Macaca mulatta: one gene and its partners. The protein of the gene in region 3 binds, or shares a complex with, the protein of the main gene of each other region. Links are inferred from orthologs where the notes say so. Each region holds a gene or a part of one and is shown on either strand. Other genes may lie near its edges.

Region 1 (6,836 bases), on a different chromosome or scaffold from region 3:
GATTCTAAGGATAAGAAATAACTGACAAAGTTCGGGGAACTTCACCAAAGGCACCAGCTCTACACTAGAGGCCTTTAAAAATCCTAGGGAAATACAGAACATGGATCATGCCCTCAGAGGAAGAAAATCACATGAAATAATTAAGAGGAATAAATGTTATTAGATAAGTCAACACTGCATTGTGAGGCATGAATTCTAAGAAAAGGAGGCAATTCCAGAGAGCCAAAACCATCAGGGAAGGCCTTCCTGGAGCTGCTGGCATGGAACAGAAACCAAAGCAGCTTCAGTTAAGAGATAAGGCTGGCAGAGGTGATGTTGTGGGGGCTAAAATGCAGACAGGGATAAGCTGAGTTGAGGATGAGAGGATCATGTAACTTAGAGCTCAGGTACTGGGAGGAATTTACAGAGACCACCTAAGCTACCACCCCTACTGCTTGGTGGTGATGTGGGAGGCCAAGTGTGGCCAGAGGTGAAATGGGATAAAATTCTAGAACATCAGAGTTCAAAGAGCCTTTAAAATACCCCCATTCTATGTCTTCGAACACTTTTAGTAGTAAAACCCCTTTTCTACCAAAGAAAACCTTTCATGGAGCTCAAATATACAAAGAAAATTATGACTGATGTGGAGGCTGAGGCCCCGAATGAAGGTTCTGCTCCAAGCCCCTGTTTCTCATGGAGGTAAAGAGGGAAGCAGTTCACTATAGGGTTCAGTGTCAGATGGTCACCAACATGACCAGACACAGACCTTCAGAGGATGTCTAGGCACCTTCCATGGGTCTTTCTGTCTCCAAGAACAGGCAATCTGAACAGAGATTGAGGAAGGCCCTATAGTGGCTGGGATGGACAAAGCAGGTAGGAGATCTCATAGAGAGGCTTCAAGGTCAATGAGAGACATGGAAAACATATTCCTTTACCTTCCTGCAGCATGTAAAACTCATAATGGGATGGGTAAAGGGGGTAGGAGGTCTCATAAGAGGCTTCAAAGTCAATGAGAAATGTGGAGAATATTTACCTTCCTATAGCATGCAAAACTAACAGTACCCCCATGCTCTCTCCCCTGCCTCAGAAACTAAGCGCTGGCCTCCTAACCTCTGTATCCATGGCCATGGGCCCTGGGCTCAGTGCCTTCTGGGCATCTTACCTGGTCCCGAGTGTAAGGCGTGTCCACTCTCTGCTTGTCACTGCAGGCTTCCAGGAGGACACGGATGGCGTTCAGCTGCAGGAGCATCTCGCAGGCCATTGTATCAAAGAACGTGATGTTGGCAAGGGCCGCAGAGGCCAGCAGGAAGACTTCCCCTGAGGAGGCCTCTTGGCACAGTTCTGGATGGCAACGAGAAAGAAAATAACTTCCGTGCCAAGTGTTTTCATATCAGTTGTCTCATTTGGTTCCCACAGTAGCTCTGGGAGATCTTTTGAGCAGGTGTTATAATAGCCATTTTACAGATGAGGAAAGTGGCTACTAAGAGGGAACAGTATCTGTCTACACAGGTGGCAAATGGGATTTGAAATCTGGTATGTAACTCTACTCAATCCTTCATCCAATAAGTATTTATTGAATGAAAACTATGTGTCAGGCACCACTGGGATCTTGGGATGGCATAGTGAACAAAACAGGTCAGGTCCTTGCCCTTGTTGAGCTCACACTCTACTAGTGGGCAAGAGAAAATAAACTTTAAAAAAATTACTATACATAATTACAAAGTCTGATAAACACAAGGGAGAAAATAAACAAGTGCTAAGAGAGAATAACTAGCGGTCTGCTGAGGTGTGCAACAAAAGGTGTCCCTAAGAATGTGACTTTACAGCTGAGACCTTGAGGGAAGAAATGGGCCAGTCATAAAAATACTTGGGGAAACAGAATATTCTAGACCAAAGGAAAAAGAGATATAAAGTCTGTGAGTCGGGAAGGAGCTCCCAGTCCATTTATGTCTCCGGTAATGCACACTAGCCTGCTGCTAAGCTTGCCTTAAGGAAGAGACTAAAGGTGAAAGAGAGAGACTATACCCCTCCAGCTGCCATCAACAGAGCTTCGGTGCTTTCTTTCAGTCCCAGGATAAGGGCCATCTGGCAGCAAGAAAGTCCTATACCAAGTTTCTGAATGTCAGGCTCTTTATCTCTAATCCTGGTGGTCCTAGCTTAGCCCTAACAAATTCCCCCATTTACCATCTGTAATTGTACTAAGGGCCTTTAAGGAGCAGAGTGACCTCATCCTTCCACCACCTGACACATCCCCCATGGGCTCCACAGAACCTGGAATGGACGCTCACCAAAGGAGGAGGCATAGATGGGCTCTATCTATGGTGCTTCCCCCATTTCAGTGGACCTGATGTCTGGCCCTCAGCTCCAACTTGACTATCAATCAAGGTACTTCTCCAGTCCAGTCCCTCTCCTACTGATAACACCTCTACAAAACCACAGGAGCCAAGGCCATACTTCAGGAAAAGAGTCCCAGGAGAGAAAGAAAGTTCGGGAGACAAAATTGAGCTATCTTCTATCCTGGTCCCTAGTTCTTGCCTCCAGACAGTCTATACTTCCAGGTTCTGATGCAACTGCCACCTCTTGGCACCTACCTGTGAATGCACATTCTGATCCCTACCTTTTAGTTTTAGTAGTAAAACCCTTTTTCTACCAATAACATTAGTCTAACACCTACAGTGGGCCTTGCACTGTGCCATTAAATTCTGAATACCCTCAAATTAGAAAATGATTGTCCACATTTACAACTAGCTGAATCTTAGAGAAGCTAGTAGTAGCAGCAGCTACCATTTATTGAGTGTTACTCACTGCTGTACATATTTTTTACTTCATTACATCATTTAATCCTTACAACAATCCCATTTTTATCACTATTTTATAAATAAAGAAATTGAGGATTGAAATGTTAAGTGATTTGCCCCTGGTCTTATGGCCAGTAAGTAACTCTTTGAGGTTAGAATCAAATCCAGGTCTGCCTGACTCCGAAGTCCTCATTCTTTCTACACTCCAAGTTGCATCTGGTCTCTCAGCCTCTTTGACTCATTCCCAGCAATGCTTCCACAGACGTGCGTTTCGGTTCTATCAGGAAGGTAATGCCTCCCTCTGGGCAATGTTGCTCCCCGCAGCCCAGGTTTGACCATTAGATAATTCAAACTCTTGATCCAACCACCCAGGACTGGAACAACAGATTAGCCAAGGTATTAAGAACTCTGATTCCCTTTATCCAATGATTGCCCTATCCTCTGATTTTGGGGAAATCACTGGAGTCCCCAGCCCCTTCCAGGCCACCTCCCTACATCCAAGGTTTTGGGTGAGTCTACAGAGCTCATCGGCCCACTTTGCTGTAAGATTCCTTCTAGGTCCTAACACTCCCCCTCATTCTCATTCAGTTGCTATTGCTGCTGACACAGCAATTATTAACACGACCAACTAAGTGCCTTTTAATTTTGCTGCACATTTATTTGAACTACAGTCTGAGTCACCTGGGATGTGTTAGGAAGATTAAATTGAGGATTCCAGTGACTCATTTATAAATGTTTCCAGGGAATGGCAAGAAGTTGGAGGGCTATTTCCCACCAAAGAACAGAGCTCTGGCTTCCTGCCCAGAAGATATCTGCTGAATCTCAGAGTGGACTATACAATGCGTCTTCATCAGGATGAAATAAATAGGAAGATTCCTTGGCTCCAGGGAGAAACCCAGCCTGGGCAGTGAAGCAGGAATGAATATATGACAATAGTGAAAGGTCACTTTGAATATATGTACTTTCATTTATTTGATAATGTTTATAAATTGAGAAATTTTCTATGAAGTTTACAATTTTTGTCTTATCTTTAAAAGTCTATGCCTTTCCTACATGGCAACAATCAACTGAAATTTACCAGTGACCACCCCTTTAGACAGTGCATGGACTTTTCAATTTGACACAGGACTCAAACACCTTTATTCTTCCACCTGGCTCTCTTCAAATCATTTACGTTTCTTACCAGGCTCTGGTGGATGTTGAATATGAGACTCCTGGTATAAGTGAGTCCTAGTGCTGTTGTGTGGCCTTGAGAAAGTAACTTAACCCCTCTAGGCTTAGATTTCTTCACCCAGAGAGTATGCTTGAAACTGTAGGGTCTCTTGAGCTCCCCCGAGCCAAGACTTTCAACAATGGGCTTCTATGTTTTCTCAATTTTGAATAAATGTGGACATTGGCAAATTGATCCTCCCAGCCTGACCTGTGAGTACCACTGCCCCCATGACTAGAATCAGCCATAAAGTCAACTTAACTGATGTCTCCTATGTGCGAAGTACTTGCAGATCTCCAAATTCTAGAGTTAGAAGGACCCTTGAGAGAAACGAGTTGCAATGTCTTGTTTATATTAGGAAAACTGTGAAGTGGGTTTTACAATGTGACATGGTAAGAAGTGAGTGGCGGGATCTCACACAGCACCGCCACAGGCTTGCTGCACATAGCCACTTGAATGGATAAGTGAAAAGCCTGAGTCCAAACCCAGGGTTCTGACTCCTAGCCCAATGTTCTATGTTGCCCCTAAGTTCGTGCTATTTCAGATATTTCCAGCCCTGACATGGTCACTCCAAGAGCTAATCCTAAATTTTCTTATGAAATTAACTTTCATTTCATTTCAATTAGATATAGATATAAAGAGAGTGACAGAGAAATAGAAACACAGATCACTACTAGCACTAGCACTTTTAAAAGAAAGAGGTGGGTCACAAAAAATTCCCTGGGGATTGTTATCCAGACTGGCCCTTTCAGTTTCTATAATTTAGCAAAGGAAAACTAAGAAAAGAGCATATTTCAGATACGGATCTATGATTCTCCTGCCAGGGATACATACGTTTGAATAGGGGAACCTAGAGGAGTCAATGCTTTCAAGGCCCCATGATGTGAGACCAATGGTGGGATTTTCAGGCAGCAGGTTGTGGTGGGCTGGTGCTCTCTGAGAAACCATTTTCCTCAGTCATTACTCTCATAGTCACTGGGTACAAAGACTGAGACTTTAGGAAAAATGTCTATCAGAGTCTCTCAATCTGAGTATCTGAACCTCAAAATTTGAGGCACCACTCCTTTCTAGGGCTTGTCCTGGACTCCCTTCTGAAAGGCCATTGAATCACAAACTGACAATAATTCAGGTTGCTTCTCAGAGGGCCACACACATTTTAATAGGAAACTCTTGACAACAGAGCTCATCAAAGCCTAATTCAGATCCATTAATGGTGGGATTTCAGCAAATGTGATCATCTATGCAGGAGATATTTGGGGTGCAATGAGTGGCAGATGGGAAGGCCTTCCTGGCTATTCCTGAAGACAACTGTGCCAAGGTCCTCTCTCCTAGTGGTCCCACTGCCCAGGGTAACTCACTGACGAGGGCTGTCACGATCTCCTCCATGCTCTCCATGAAGCTACTGAGGTGCTGGGTGACGGGCAGGTGTGGGGAGGTGACCTGGGCCACCACAGCCGCAGCCTCAGCCCGTGTGGCCTCTGAGTGGCTGTCGTCAGTCAGGATGTCGGCCAAGCACAGAACGCCATCCACCTGCAGATGGAGAGAGGGAGCTCCCCTGTGCATTCTGGGTGAACACCACTGCCCAGGACATTAATGAGACAGATTCAGCACCCCCTACATGGAAGCCAGCTCTGGCTTCCCAGAACAGCCCGGGACCCCATGTGGAGCCAGGGACAATCCAGTGAAAAGACCCTCAGAATGACTCAAATTCTGGCACCTGGAGGCCTCTCCTTTGAGTCCAGCGGAGATCAGTAACCTTCCATGGGCCTCCTAGAGAGCAGACAGCAAGTCAAGTGTCCAAAGGCAGGACCCTGGTCATCAACCACAGCAAATTGTCATAAAAGAATAGTCACTTAGAAATCTCACATCCCTGACCTCTAATCCTGGACCCCTCTTCCTTGCTATGCGACTTGGCGTTAGTCACTTAGCCTCTCTGAGATTCTGTTTCATCACCCTTCAACAGGGTGTTGTGGGATTGAAGACATAAAGCAGGCAATGCCTGATCTAGAAGAGATGCTCAAGAAATGTTGGTTTCTTCCTCATATTTAGCAACAGGATGAGCTTAGTATTTCCTTCCCCATCTTGTCCTCCACCATCCTCCCTGATAGAAATGGGGCTGCTTCCCTGGAGGCCTTGCTTTCTGTGCCCAACCAGTAAGGAGCAAACCTGAAACTGGTGGGACATTAGTGCCAGATAAGAACATGTTTCCAAGCTCTGCCTGGATCAGACCTGCTTTTGGTATGAGAACAGCTTCTGCTGAGCATGTGCTTACAGTGTGCCAGGCACCATTCTATAGAGTGCACATGTTATTATACAATCTATTCCTTACAATAACCCTCTGAGGTCAGTATTATTATCCCCATTTTACAGACGAGAAAGCTGAGGCCCAGAAAGGTTCATTGACTTGCCCCAGATCAAGAACTTTAAAAGCAGTTGGTTGGGCATTCAAACTCAAATGGTCCTGGTGTCAAAACCCAGGTTCTGAACAGGATATTATGCTGCCTCCTAAGAAGTGGCATCTGAGCTCAGACTTCAGCCTCCATCAGGGTCAGTACACAAAACTTGCTGGAGAAAAAGAGGGCAGGAGCTTGTCAAGATTAGCTCTGCAGTGCTACTGCAGCCCCTCAAATGCCCTGGGCACCAGCCTGCCTGGGGACCCTGCCACCAAGCACCAAGTCCTTCTCAGGTTGGGAGTGGGAGGTAGGGATGAGGCAGGGGAAGAACAGGAGAGGTGGGGTGAGGAGCAGCCCGTGCTCATTCCCTACACCTGCCACAGACCTGAGGCTTCTGTCCCTATGTCTTCCTGCCACTCAGCTCCTGTGGGCCTCCAGAGGTCTGCATTTCGTTTG
Region 2 (6,542 bases), on a different chromosome or scaffold from region 3:
CATTAAGTCCATTGCATGATTTGCCGGGAGCAAAAACCTCTTTGGTAAAACTGTACTTTTTTCCCATATGTCTTGCACATCTGATGTCAGTTATCCAAACTTGTGCTGGGGACAATTTGAGGGAATGGATGGGAGAATAGTATGGCCCTAAAATTTTCTCAAAATGTTGCCTCTGGAATCTATAAGGCAATATCAACAGAATGACCCAGTTCTCTGTCTTGTTAAATATCAGAACAAATCTCCACATCAAAATTCCAGATTGAAAGATGCTTGAAGAGCAAACAAACTAATAGTATTTAAATTGGGGTTTTGTAATTTTAATCCATGAGGAACATGAAACAAATTTTCAGGAGTTCCCGTGATACAAACAAAAATTGAAATTAATCTAAATATTAATTATGCTTAGAAATTACAGAGAAAAGTACCTTACCTGTGACCACTCCACCTTATGCATTTTATACACACACACACACACACACACACACAGGCATGCATGCTGACATTTATACATGAATATTTTAACATCTACTAGGATATCAAAAGACTGAAGATAGAAGTTTTGTACTATCATTACAATATTTATTTTAATTTCCCATATGGCAAAACTCTGACAATCCTTGACTATCTCTGAACTCAATGAGGAAAACATTCAATATCTTCCTTCATGAAGTAGGGAATATTAGATCTCACCTTACAAAAAAAGAACAATTAATGTTCTGGAATAATGGCCTATTGAAATCTCACCTTTAAGGGTAAAAGGCATGTTGTATATTTACATTCGTAGATATGAATGAAGCCTTTTAATAATAGAACCAAGGGTCAGATGGAATTAAGCTATACTTCCCTACTCCCGGATGGTATTACATTTTATCACATAGCAATTACAATTTATGCAGTATCAATTTTGTTAAGGTTGGTTCTCCTAACCCAAGGAATTCTTACACCTGAAGCCTAAATCAACAAGTACTATATTTGGGTAGTTGAAAAACTGTATTTACACAAGTGATGCTACAAGCCATTAAGTTAAAAAACAGAGACGAGCCCCCCCCCACCCCTGCCCCACCCAAAACCAGACAGTACAGTAATGTGTCTTTGCATGATTCTTTCTCTTTAGGAACTGAAAACAAGGGGAAGCATAACCTCCTTGGCCCAGATTGGAACTGTATACCCCAAATGACCACCTTTATTGGCGAAGGGGAACAAGAAGCCCAGATAACATACATAGATTCAAAGCAGAAGACGGTGGAGATCACAGACAGCACCATATGTCCAAAAGAGCACCGGCACTTGTACATAGACAACACCTATAGTTCAGATGCACTTAACCAGCAGCTGAGCCAGCCCGGGGAGGCCCCCTGTGAGGCAGACTATAGAAGTCTCGCTCAGCAGTCCCTATTGACCCTCTCAGGACCAGAAACTCTGAAGAAAGCACAGGAATCTCCGAGAGGAGCTAAAGTGTCCTTTATTTTTGGAGACTTTGCCTTGGATGATGGTATTAGTCCCCCAACCCTCGGCTATGAAACACTACTAGATGAGAGTCCTGAAATGCTGGAGAAGCAGAGAAATCTCTACATCGGCAGTGCCAGTGACATGAAGGGCCTGGATCTCACTCCAGAGGCAGAGGGCATCCAGTTTGTGGAAAATTCTGTTTATGCAAACATAGGCGATGTGAAGAGCTTCCAGGCTGCAGAGGGGATCGAGGAGCCCCTCTTGCATGACATCTGTTATGCAGAAAACACTGATGACGCAGAGGATGAGGACGAGGTGAGCTGTGAGGAGGACCTCGTGGTGGGGGAGATGAACCAGCCGGCCATCCTCAACCTGTCTGGGTCAAGCGATGACATCATTGACCTCACATCCCTGCCCCCTCCAGAAGGTGATGACAATGAGGATGACTTCCTGTTGCGTTCCTTGAACATGGCCATTGCCGCACCCCCACCTGGCTTTAGAGACAGTTCAGATGAAGAGGACTCTCAGAGCCAGGCAGCTTCCTTCCCCGAGGACAAGGAGAAAGGCGGCAGCCTGCAAAATGATGAGATCCCCGTGTCCCTCATTGACGCTGTGCCCACCAGCGCCGAAGGCAAGTGTGAGAAGGGACTGGATAATGCCGTTGTCTCCACGCTGGGAGCTCTAGAGACTCTATCCGTGTCAGAAGAACAGCAGACCAGTGACAATTCAGGTTCTTTCACAATTGTTACATTCATTCACTGATAACCATATCATTCCATCCTTCCAAGCCATTTGCCCTTGGAGTTCTGTTACATGGTGTTCTCCATTTCACAAATGTCCCATTTCATAAACGTGCTGAAACTGCCATCATAGGTTTTTTTGTGTGTATGTGATTTCTTTTGTTGTTACTTTTTTAAAGACATAAGGCACATCTCCCCCACCCCCACCCCCACCCCCATTTCTGGAAAAACTGCAATAAACTCAGAGTCCTTACTGAAAAGGGAAAAACTTGGTATTTTGTTTTAGTAATAACGGGTCCCATATTCTTACATGTCTCCAAGTGCCTCTGATGCATCCATTAATCAGTTCTTGTTTTTTACGGCATGCAGGTGTAGCCATCTTGCGGGCTTATAGTCCTGAGTCTTCGTCAGACTCGGGCAATGAAACTAACTCTTCTGAAATGACTGAGAGTTCTGAACTGGCCACAGCACAAAAACAGTCAGAAAACCTCTCCCGCATGTTCTTGGCCACTCACGAAGGCTACCACCCCCTTGCAGAAGAGCAGACTGAGTTCCCGGCCTCCAAGACCCCCACTGGGGGCTTGCATCCAAAGTCCTCGCACACCCTGGCTGCTAGGCCAGCAACTGACCTCCCGCCCAAAGTTGTGCCTTCCAAGCAGTTACTTCACTCAGACCACATGGAGATGGAGCCTGAAACCATGGAGACTAAGTCAGTCACTGACTATTTCAGCAAACTGCACATGGGGTCGGTGGCATACTCCTGCACTAGCAAAAGGAAAAGCAAGCTGGCCGATGGTGAGGGGAAGGCACCCTCTAATGGGAACACAATAGGAAAAAAACAGCAGGGGACCAAAACGGCAGAGATGGAGGAGGACGCCAGTGGTAAATTTGGTACTGTGTCTTCACGGGACAGTCAACACCTGAGCACTTTTAACCTGGAGAGAACTGCCTTTCGCAAGGACAGCCAAAGATGGTATGTGGCCACTGAAAGCGGGATGGCTGAAAAAAGTGGATTAGAAGCAGCAACGGGGAAAACCTTTCCAAGAGCTTCTGGTCTTGGGGCAAGGGAGGCTGAAGGGAAGGAAGAAGGAGCTCCTGATGGAGAAACCAGTGATGGCTCAGGACTTGGTCAAGGGGACCACTTCTTAACTGACGTGACCTGTGCATCTTCAGCCAAAGACTTAGATAACCCAGAGGACGCTGACTCGTCCACCTGCGACCATCCTTCCAAGCTTCCTGAGGCTGATGAGAGTGTGGCCCACCTTTGTGACTACCACTTGGCCAAGCGGATGTCATCGCTGCAAAGCGAGGGCCATTTTTCTCTGCAGAGCTCCCAAGGCTCTTCAGTGGATGCAGGCTGTGGCACGGGCAGCAGTGGCAGTGCCTGCGCCACACCCGTGGAGTCGCCGCTCTGCCCCTCCCTAGGGAAGCACTTGATTCCTGACGCTTCTGGGAAAGGCGTGAATTACATTCCTTCAGAGGAGAGAGCCCCTGGGCTTCCCAACCACGGAGCCACCTTTAAGGAACTGCACCCACAGACAGAAGGGATGTGTCCACGAATGACAGTGCCTGCTCTGCACACAGCCATTAACACCGAACCCCTGTTTGGCACATTGAGAGATGGATGCCATCGGCTCCCCAAGATTAAGGAAACCACAGGTACAGCAATGATGGATTTAGCACTTTGTATGACATGCCAGGAGCATGTAAACCATATTTACAACAAACTTACAAACGTAAAGTCTGGAAGAAAAGTAAAAGGTAGAATTTAAAAGGCCACAGAACAGTAAAGTACCAATCATTGATCCCCTAGTATTTAATAAATACTAAAGATTACAAAGGTGAAAATGGCATTTGCGCTTTATAATCTTGCTCTGTGTTTGCTTTCAGAATTTGATGGAGCAATATGTTTTTTTCCTAAATTCTAAATGCAGATGTTTAGCAATGCCCAGTGTGACTTTAAGTTATATGATAGTATTGCTTAGAGTCACATAACAGTTTGATTTTCTTCCCAAGACATCTGATTTCTAATTCTGCCATTTCATTATTGAGGGACAAAGAAGAATAAGAGAGCAGGGTATCAGGGAGATTGGAGGGGTTTGGAGAGATTATTTGCCTTTCAGCAATCTTACTGACTCCTCCCTACTCTGACATACCCCAGTGTCAGGAAGATTTTGAGGTTATGTCTGATGAGCTGCTTTATTTTCCCCAAAATAATAAAGTGTAAACACACATAGAAACAAGAACACATCCACCTTCTGTATCCCACCTTCACTACTCCACCACTCAATGGTATGCATTCCCCTCACTGATCCACTTGGCTGGTCATTATATGGCAAAAGCAGATACTCTCTCATATTTTCATATTTCAAATTATGTCATCAATAGTGTCTTTTTCATACAGGTCAATAGAAGTTAGTGAGATCTTATATTGGTCATTTTCTATTCCTGTTCTTTTAAGATTTTCTACTTTCTCAAAACCCACCACTGGCTTTACCTGCCTTGGAAAAGTTATCTGTGAATATTACCTAACTCATCACCCAACTGCATATTTACCTCTAAACTAACTAAGTCACACTGTTTAATCTTTCATGATTTATAAAGAACTTTCACCTGAGTTACCTCTTGCTTCTCACAAATATTCTGTGAGATGGGGATTATTTGCTTCACATGACAGCTTTTCTTAAACAAACAAAAAAAAAATGTTGAGCAACTGGCCCAAGGTCTCAACTTCAGACTTTGTACCAGGCAAACCTCATGCTGTCCTCTTAAACAGATTCACTTATTTAATTTGCATTAATTAAATTAGGCCACTTCTTTAAAAGAAAGAAAGGAAAGAAAGAAAAAGAAAGAAAGTAAGGAAAAGAAAAGAAAGAAAGAAACTGATGCCAGGTTTAACTTAATTCCCTTGAAATGAAACTTAGTATCTTCAATATATTTGAATAATCTATACATAGTTATTTTCTGTGTCTAAGCTTGATAGATAGATATTGGTAGCAAGGCAATTCATGAAATCCCTGAAAATGTTTGGGATTTCTAGACAATTTCAAATGAATCAGCAGTTCCAGAAATAACAGATTCCAGTATTTTCTTGATATTCATTAAAATGGAAATTTGTTATGAGATATCAAGATGCAGCCTTTGGAAAGCAGGGTGACCTTAGCATACGGCAGCCCTTCCAGACTACATCCTTGAGAAATGACAGACATCATGTAGCGATGTAGTAAAAATGGCCTCCCAGGAGATGCTTAATGATTCTCTCTGTTTTTCTACTACCCCTAGTGTAGCTTTGACAGAGCCTGGGAAGGAGAGACGAGGAGGCATGCCTTCAGCTTGGTCTCAACATCCTGAAGCTGATCCCATCCTGCTACCATCAAACATTCACTCGGAATCAAAGGTGCCAATTCCAAATCAAGACCCTAATGATTTCTCCCAAGCAAATCAGGCATACGGAGAGGCTGTGAGCTGGCGGCCACCGGATCTGAGAGGGGGAAGCCTCAGGACACCCCCCAGCCAGAAGGCTCTGAGACATAGCAGCAGTGTCCTCTCCGGATCTGTCGATTTGGAGACCTTCCGAGAGAGAACCAAGGGTGCAGTCAGCTTAAAGTGTCCAGGCATCACAGAAGCACAGGAGGCCAGTTCTGAAAGGCGAGCAGAACTCCCCCTGGGGAGGAAGCTCACCAAAAGTTTTTCCCAAAGCTCGATGCACTTGAGCTCCGAGGGGAGGTTTCACAAAAGGTCCCCAGTGGCTCATAAAGACTCAAAGCTGTATAGGACATTACCCTTGCGGAAGCTGGAGGGCAGCAATTGGAGATGCCGGGGACCCTTCAGCTATTGCTTCCTGAACCGAGGGCAGGATGAAGATGGTGAGGAAGAGGAGGAGAGGGGAGAGGCCACCGTCCAGGTCGCTTGCCTCTATAGACCACAGATGACTCAAGCCACGCCAGAACCAAGCAGCCCATGTCTGGCTGTGGCAATTCAGAAGCAAGGAGGGGAGCTATCCAGAGGGTCAGTGCTGAAGGTCTGGGCAGAAGACCTGCGAGGCCCAGATGACTTGGACTTCAGCAACCTGGCTTTTGATGCCCGGATTGCAAGAATAAATGCCCTAAAGGAGAGCACATATGCAATGCCTGATGGGTTCCTTGCAGCCCAAAATGATGCCAATGAGCTGCTCTGTCTCGTCAGGGCAACAAAGGAGAAGAAAGAGGAGTCACGCCCTGAAGCATACGACCTTACACTTTCTCAGTACAAGCAACTGTTGTCCATTGAGTCCAGACAGTTGGGAAGTGCCTGTAGGAAAATGGCGATGGCTGAGAAAAGCCCGGAGGAGATGCTCCTAGCTATGACTTCCAG
Region 3 (6,836 bases):
AGGACAGAAAGATGAAGAAGAGGAGAGAAGAGAATAAAGACGAGAGTGGCAAACCAGAAAAGTACAGTAATCCTGGAGGCCGAATGAAGAAAGTATTCTCAGAAGGGAATGATTGGCTATAGATACTGTTGAGAAAAATCAAGTAAGCTGACATGTGAAAACTGAATGATATATTTGGTAAAATGGAGGTTTGTGGTAACCTTGAAAGGTGGTTTCAGAGTCATGGTGAGGGTAAAGCCCAACGGGAATGGGTTAAAGAGAGAAAGGGAGGCAAGGAAGTAAAGACAATGAACATCAGTGGTGTCTTTTCAGGTTTTGTTATAAAAGGGAACAAAGGAACAGTCTATAGGGTTCATGAAGACAAGCGACTGTTTGCTTTTGCTTTTTAAAGATGAGAGCTCTCATGGCATAACCTATTTGAAAGTTCAACACAGGGCCGGGTGCGGTGGCTCAAGCCTGTAATCCCAGCACTTTGGGAGGCCGAGACGGGAGGATCACGAGGTCAGGAGATGGAGACCATCCTGGCTAACACGGTGAAACCCCGCCTCTACTAAAAAATACAAAAAAACTAGCCGGGCAAGGTGGTGGGCGCCTGTAGTCCCAGCTACTCGGGAGGCTGAGGCAGGTGAATGGCGTGAACCCGGGAGGCGGAGCTTGCAGTGAGCTTAGATCTGGCCACTGCACTCCAGCCTGGGTGACAGAGCGAGACTCCGTCTCAAAAAAAAAAAAAAAAAAAAAAAGAAAGTTCAACCCAGAAAAACGTTTTAGAACATCATTCAACCACAAAGCATGCAGTCACAAATTATTATACGGCTCACGCTTCAGACTTTTCACTAAATGTTCTTTGAAAGTCTAAATCAGATGACTAGCCACTAATTTCTTTTCCTTTTTCATGAGTTTAAAGAAAAAAATTGGAAAAAGGTAGATTTATCACTGACTTCCAGATTCAAAATATTTGTCAGTTTTTTTTAGACTGAGAATCTCTCAAGCTTAGGAAAATGATCTCATACAGAATCACATACTGATGAAATTTTAAAATGTGATCCTAATCTTATCCCTTTTATTTCTTTAAAAGCATTTTTTTTCACTCAAAAAGAGACATTATAGCAAGTTTCCTCGCTATAGAAATGTCAAACAAATCGGCACCTAAGGAAGGTTTCCTAAAAATAGGTTTTGCCACCAAAAAACAAAAAACAACAACAAAAAAAAAGCAAGAAAGAAAAATAAAAAGACTATCTTAGATTTTCTGAATTTAAAAAAGAAAGTCCTAAGAAAATTCACCTTGGAAATGAAATGGGGGAAAAAGAGCTAAACAGAAATCAAATATGTAAAACTATATGAGATAAAAAGGATAAACAATAACATTTAAAAATTTTGGCACCTTCACATTTATAAATTTTTGAATGAGCTTAGAGAAAGAATTTAAATGTATTTTTACAAAAGAAAAGAACAATACCATCACCATTCCTAAATTCATAAAAACTATAAAATATTGTTTTACATTTATAAATTATATATTATATATAATTACATATATTTACAGAGCTGTGTACAGCAAAAAGAGTGTAATAAGTTGAACTTCCTATGTTATATATTCTCTCTGAATATGCCAAATTTGTGATAAATAACTTTAATGTAAATATTGAGGATTAAAAAATTGGGTTTTAAAAGTCCTATTACTTACCATTCAAACTGCTATCAATTTCAGTATTTTCAGACATTATGGAGTTATTTGTGCTGTAGCTCAGACCAAGAACCATTTGAAGGTCTGAGAGATTCAGTCGTGCTGTTAGTTCACCACTTTTATCCCCAACCTACAACACAAACATTTATATTTTAGAGTAGTATTTAAAGACAAAGAATGGTGAAGATTATTTATAAATGTAGTGAACCTAAAACTGGAAGAATGAAAATAGTTTTATTAGAATTATGAGACTATGAATGAATGAAAATTTTTTTCCATTAATAGTTGTCTTAAAGAATATAGAAAGAAAAAGCAAGTTTCTAAAATATCATAATAGGACAGCTAATTGTATTCTTTTAATTCTTTAGCTCTCTAAACATTAGATTGCTCTTGCTCTCTGGGATCATACTAAGTAATAATGTAGATTATCCTGGACACATTAACTTGGTATATGAATCAAATTTCCTTAGAATATTTTATTCCCATAGTATAATAGTAATGTTTATTAAGCTAGCACCAGATATTTTGCTAGGCACTTTTAATATACATTAGCTCTGATCATTAAAACACTTTGCAAGGTAGATATTATTATTCCCATTTTGCAGATGAGAGAAATTGAGGCTCAGAAAAGGTTTCCAAGCTCAAATAGCCAGTAAGTGGCAGAACTACAAGAGGAAGCAGTCCTTAATTCTAAGAATCATGCTTTTCCTTCAATACCATGCTACTTCTCCATGTAGAGATGCGGGTAGAGTAGGGGCATATTTTAGTACTCTCCTTCCACTTACCCATGCCCAGCCTTACTTTCCTGTCTTCCTACATCAAAGACAATACAAACATAACTGTGATCTGTACCTCAAAATGCTTTGTGGGGTTCTTATGACAAGAGAATGATATATAATCAAATTTATTATTCAGCCACATGATCAATCTAGAGAAATAACAGGGTTCCCTCCCCCAACCTCTAATTTGTAAATTACAACAGCACAGACAGCATTTTTTTGTTTCATACCTCTCTTGAAATTTCCAAGTGCTTTTCAGCAAAATGCATTGCTTGATCATGATTTCCTAGTGCTGTGTATGCATTTCCTAAGCTCCAACATGCTCTTCCTTCACCAATTCTAAAATATTATTCAAAGCGAACATGCAGTTATTTGAAAAAGAGGTCCTATGTATAGAATAAAAGCTATCTAGCAGGAACTAAAGATATAAAGAAAGGTTTGGATTGATTTGGTCTTTCATATAAAGAACATACTATCATGATATTATAGACATATTAGAATACCCAGATTAAAAAAAATAATACCCACATGATACTAAACTCATAGTCAAGTATTACAACATAGAAGACATTCTTTTAAAATATGAAAATACATTATAAAGTAATAAATCTCAAGGATAGGTATTCTGGTCCACTACCCCATTTTCCTTCTATAACAGCCCTACCAGGTAATTATTCAGTGTGTGTCTGAGCAGCAGGGAGAGAGAACTCACTACCTCTTGAGGTAGCATACTTCATTTTGAACAACTGCATCGAAAAGTTCTCTTTCATACTGAGGTAAAAAAAAAATCGATTTTCTAAAGCAAATATCACAGACTAAATGCTGGCAAATACTGTTTTTTTAATACAGTAAAACAAAATAACTGAATTAGCCACTAACATTTAAAAAGCAGATTTCATATAAAACTCAGCACTTCCAACTTTTCTTTAAAAAACAGGAAGATGTGGACACAATGGATTTTCATTCCTGCCTGGCAACAATTATTTGGAGTTGGGTAGCAGTTGCCCCCTTCACACTGGGCATTATCTCTTAAGTTTACCACAATTCCCGCACTTACATAGTTAGGAAGACTTTTTTTTTTTTTTTTTGAGATGCAGTCTCGCTCTGTTGCCAGGCTGGAGTACAGTGGTGTGATCTCAGATCACTGCAACGTCCACCTCCTGGGTTCAAGTGATCCTCCTGCCTCAGCCTCCTGAGTAGCTGGGATTACAGGCACACCCCCTCCCCACACGCAGCTAATTTTTGCATTTTTAGTAGATACGGGGTTACACTTACGTAGTTAGGAAGACTTTTTTTTGAGATACAGTCTCACTCTGTCGCCAGGCTGGAGTACAGTGGCGTGATCTCAGCTCACTGCAACCTCCACCTCCTGGGTTCAAGCGATTCTCCTGCCTCAGCCTCCCAAGTAGCTGGGATTACAGGCGTGCCCCACCACGCCTGGCTAATTTTTGTACTTTTTGTAAAGATGGGGTTTCTCCAGGAAGACTTCTGAAGAGGTAACTGAGTTTGGGACCTAGTCACTGATCTTGGGTCAAGGGCATATGGAACCAGACTAATCCTCTATCACAGACTAATTCTCTATCGCAGACAGTCCTCTATCACAGACTAATCCTCTATCACAGACTAGCCCTTCATACAACGATATACAGAGGATATCACTGAAAAAGAAAATTCCTTAAAAGGGATTTTGAGGTAAACACAGGAAAAGAAACAAAGGAAAAACTCTAGGGATTCAATAATGCATCTATATTTTACCTTAGTTACGGTCAAAAGATGTAAAACATACCTATCATTCAGCTCTTGAGCAATTGCTAAGTGCTTCAGATGATAATCAATGGCCTTTTCATAGTCTTGAAGCAAAGTATATGTATTTCCAAGACTGTAACAAGACTGTGCTTCTACAGCTCGGTCTTTAAGCTGTCGAGCCAACAGTAGTGTCTTCCTACAAGAAGAAATTAATTCTTACATAATGATCATTCTCAGTTTGGGCTTTAAGGATCACAAAATAAAACTCTAATTTTTCCTCTCTGCTGCTTTCTGCTGCCTTTAAATCTCTGAGAGCCTAATATTCATATCCCATACTTTCTTCATTACTTTTAGACAAAATGAAAAGGCCTTTTTGAAACACAGAAAGCAGATTCAAGACAGAATAAATTTGAGAATCCTAACAATTCACCAAAGTAAAGGAGTATTGAAACATGAAATCAAGAGTTTCTAGAGGTTAACATACTATCTTTAACATTTAAAAAAAACTTTCCCTTTAGTATTGGCTTTTTTCCACATGACATCTGTTTTCAATCGTACCGTCACCTTTGCATTGTCAAAATTTAAAATATTTAGGTAAAATTCTTATGTGTAGGCTATTAGTCACCACTTAGGTAAAATTCTTATGTATAGGGCATTAGTCATCAACTCATGAAAAATACTGAATGCTGCATCCAAACATTACCCATTCTAACTGTGGTATTGTCAGTGAGAAGCTAGCATAGCAGTTAAGAGTATAGATCTTGGAGCTAGACTGGGTTTAAATCCCAACTTTGCTAATTACTAAGCTAAGGGCAAAGTATGTATACCAGTCTCTCCATATATAAAATGGGAGAAATACCTCAAAGGATTTTTGTGAGGATTAAATTAATATGTATAGATAAAAAGTGCTTAGAATAGCATCTTGTGCATAGTAGATGCTGTATAAATGTTAATATGTTATTATTATCAGTGCTTAAACCTACAGATGCTTTTGGATTCAGTAATTTAAATGGCTCTCCCATCATTTCTGCCAAATAGTGTAATTACTTAATATCACTTATAACTATATGACAAATTACTATACGGTAATGTGATAGCTTTTTCTTAAACAAACAAATCTAAAATTACATATTTAATGATGATACATTCAAATCTGTCGCCTTGGGAGGCTACCTAATTATTCTAATGCTGCCTGTCTTTTCAAATATTTTTGAAAGACTTTTGGAATTGCTCTCAGAACCTGTGACATAATGCTTTCTGGCATACCATTATTCTTTGATGGTACAGTTGATTTGTAAATGATCAGAAATCTTTCTGGAACCAAATTCAATTACTAACATAGGTTTACCAAACTACTGCTTTGTATCTGGAAGGATATGGATCTACAATGTTATGTCAGCCTTCTTGTTTGACCCTGATAACAATTCCGGGCTGGGTGTGGTTCACACCTGTAATCCCAGCACTTTGGGAGGCCGAGGTGGGCGTATCACTTGAGGTCAGGAGTTCAAGACTAGCCTGGCCAACATGGTGAAACCCCATCTCTACTAAAAATACAAAAATTAGCTGGGTATGGTGGCAGACGCCTGTAATTCCAGCTGCTCAGGAAGCTGAGGCAGGAGAATCGCTTGAACCCAGGAGGTAGGTTTCAGTGCACCAAGATTGTGCCATTGCACTCCAGCCTGGGCGACAAGAGCAAAACTCAAAACTGTGTCTTTATTTAAAAAAAAAAAAAAAAAAAAAAAATCTAAAGAAGAGTTCTAAAAATATTTCTAACCAACAACTTGGAATATATATAAAGTTCTGAGTTCTAGCCTGCTTATAGGGAGAAAAAAAGTAAGTTTCATTACTTTATATTCATGCTTCTTTAGTCAAATAGCCACTATCCATTTTATAATAGAACCTTTCAGTATGTAACACAGGTATGCCATTTAATAATTAAGACTTCTCTATATCCCTTGGCTTTAAAACATAAGAAACTTTTATATTTAAAATCAAAATATATACTCCTTCATATAGTACATAGTAATATGTTTTATTTGGGAGGCTATTTCATATCTAACTAACCTAACCAACCAACAAATATTAACCATTAGTTAATGTTTAAAGCAAAGTGGAATGCTATTCAATTTTTTTTAGATAGGCCTGAAACAATTTTACCTTTTTATGAAGATGACAAAATTATCCAGAACTGTCTCATATTGGATTCTTTAACAAAATACAAATCAATCACTGTGTCTTCAGTTTAGTCAAACTGGCTTCTACCCAAAATCTATAAGGGCCTTCAATCCCCACTAACTAGGGAAAACTCAATGTAGAAAGCACAGATCAGGCAACTTGAAGCTGTCTAAACTTTCTATCATCTATGTCTCAAATCTACTGATAAGAGACATCCTGCCACAGAAGAAGCTGGGATTGCAAACTCCTCAGGTAAGTGAATGGGGACGCAGCTTACAGTGACACAGTCAAATATGGGCAGAAAGAGGGTAAAGGGAGAACTGCTCAGTAAGAAGGTGGGAAGGTAGAGCAAAAAAATCAGTGATCACTGATAGAGACTATAAATATTTTTGTTACCAGGCTTTCTTTTGGCATCTCCTCTAACCCATAATTGAGTGAAATAAAGCATATAC

What was found. The genes of interacting proteins can lie anywhere in the genome.
Region 1: the proteins of GPSM2 (region 3) and INSC are in contact, whole or in part, in a crystal structure (PDB 3RO3), measured with the Mus musculus proteins. The link is inferred for Macaca mulatta from reciprocal best matches to the Homo sapiens genes GPSM2 and INSC. Residues at the interface, in NP_083798.2 of Mus musculus: Asn210, Tyr213, Leu214, Phe218, Arg242, Ser246, Asn247, Asn250, Ile253, Phe254, Tyr265, Gln283, Tyr286, Ser287, Asn290, Thr291, Thr293, Leu294, Arg323, Trp326, Ser327, Asn330; in XP_006507722.1 of Mus musculus: Val72, Asp73, Ser74, Val75, Arg77, Trp78, Met79, Asp81, Leu82, Lys83, Leu84, Met85, Thr86, Glu87.
Region 2: the proteins of GPSM2 (region 3) and FRMPD4 are in contact, whole or in part, in a crystal structure (PDB 4WND), measured with the Homo sapiens proteins. The link is inferred for Macaca mulatta from reciprocal best matches to the Homo sapiens genes GPSM2 and FRMPD4. Residues at the interface, in NP_001307967.1 of Homo sapiens: Leu25, Ala28, Leu29, Glu32, Asp57, Lys59, Thr60, Ser62, Ala63, Ile64, Ser66, Gln67, Asn70, Phe73, Tyr74, His85, Asp88, Ala92, Gly100, Lys103, Asn107, Asn110, Thr111, Lys113, His128, Arg143, Tyr146, Asn147, Asn150, His153; in NP_055543.2 of Homo sapiens: Gln988, Leu989, Leu990, His991, Ser992, His994, Met995, Glu996, Met997, Glu998, Pro999, Glu1000, Thr1001, Met1002, Glu1003, Thr1004, Lys1005, Ser1006, Val1007, Thr1008, Asp1009, Tyr1010, Phe1011, Ser1012.

The regions. Positions count from the first base shown.
Region 1 is NC_133419.1:50,249,721-50,256,556, forward strand, and holds part of INSC (protein inscuteable homolog), read right to left. Parts: intron 5,518-6,836; coding exon 5,346-5,517; intron 1,321-5,345; coding exon 1,142-1,320; intron 1-1,141. UniProt on the Homo sapiens protein: May function as an adapter linking the Par3 complex to the GPSM1/GPSM2 complex. Involved in spindle orientation during mitosis. May regulate cell proliferation and differentiation in the developing nervous system.
Region 2 is NC_133426.1:12,342,784-12,349,325, forward strand, and holds part of FRMPD4 (FERM and PDZ domain-containing protein 4), read left to right. Parts: intron 1-1,114; coding exon 1,115-2,179; intron 2,180-2,558; coding exon 2,559-3,848; intron 3,849-5,476; coding exon 5,477-6,542. UniProt on the Homo sapiens protein: Positive regulator of dendritic spine morphogenesis and density. Required for the maintenance of excitatory synaptic transmission. Binds phosphatidylinositol 4,5-bisphosphate.
Region 3 is NC_133406.1:131,415,466-131,422,301, forward strand, and holds part of GPSM2 (G-protein-signaling modulator 2), read right to left. Parts: intron 4,406-6,836; coding exon 4,250-4,405; intron 2,803-4,249; coding exon 2,694-2,802; intron 1,815-2,693; coding exon 1,685-1,814; intron 1-1,684. UniProt on the Homo sapiens protein: Plays an important role in mitotic spindle pole organization via its interaction with NUMA1. Required for cortical dynein-dynactin complex recruitment during metaphase. Plays a role in metaphase spindle orientation.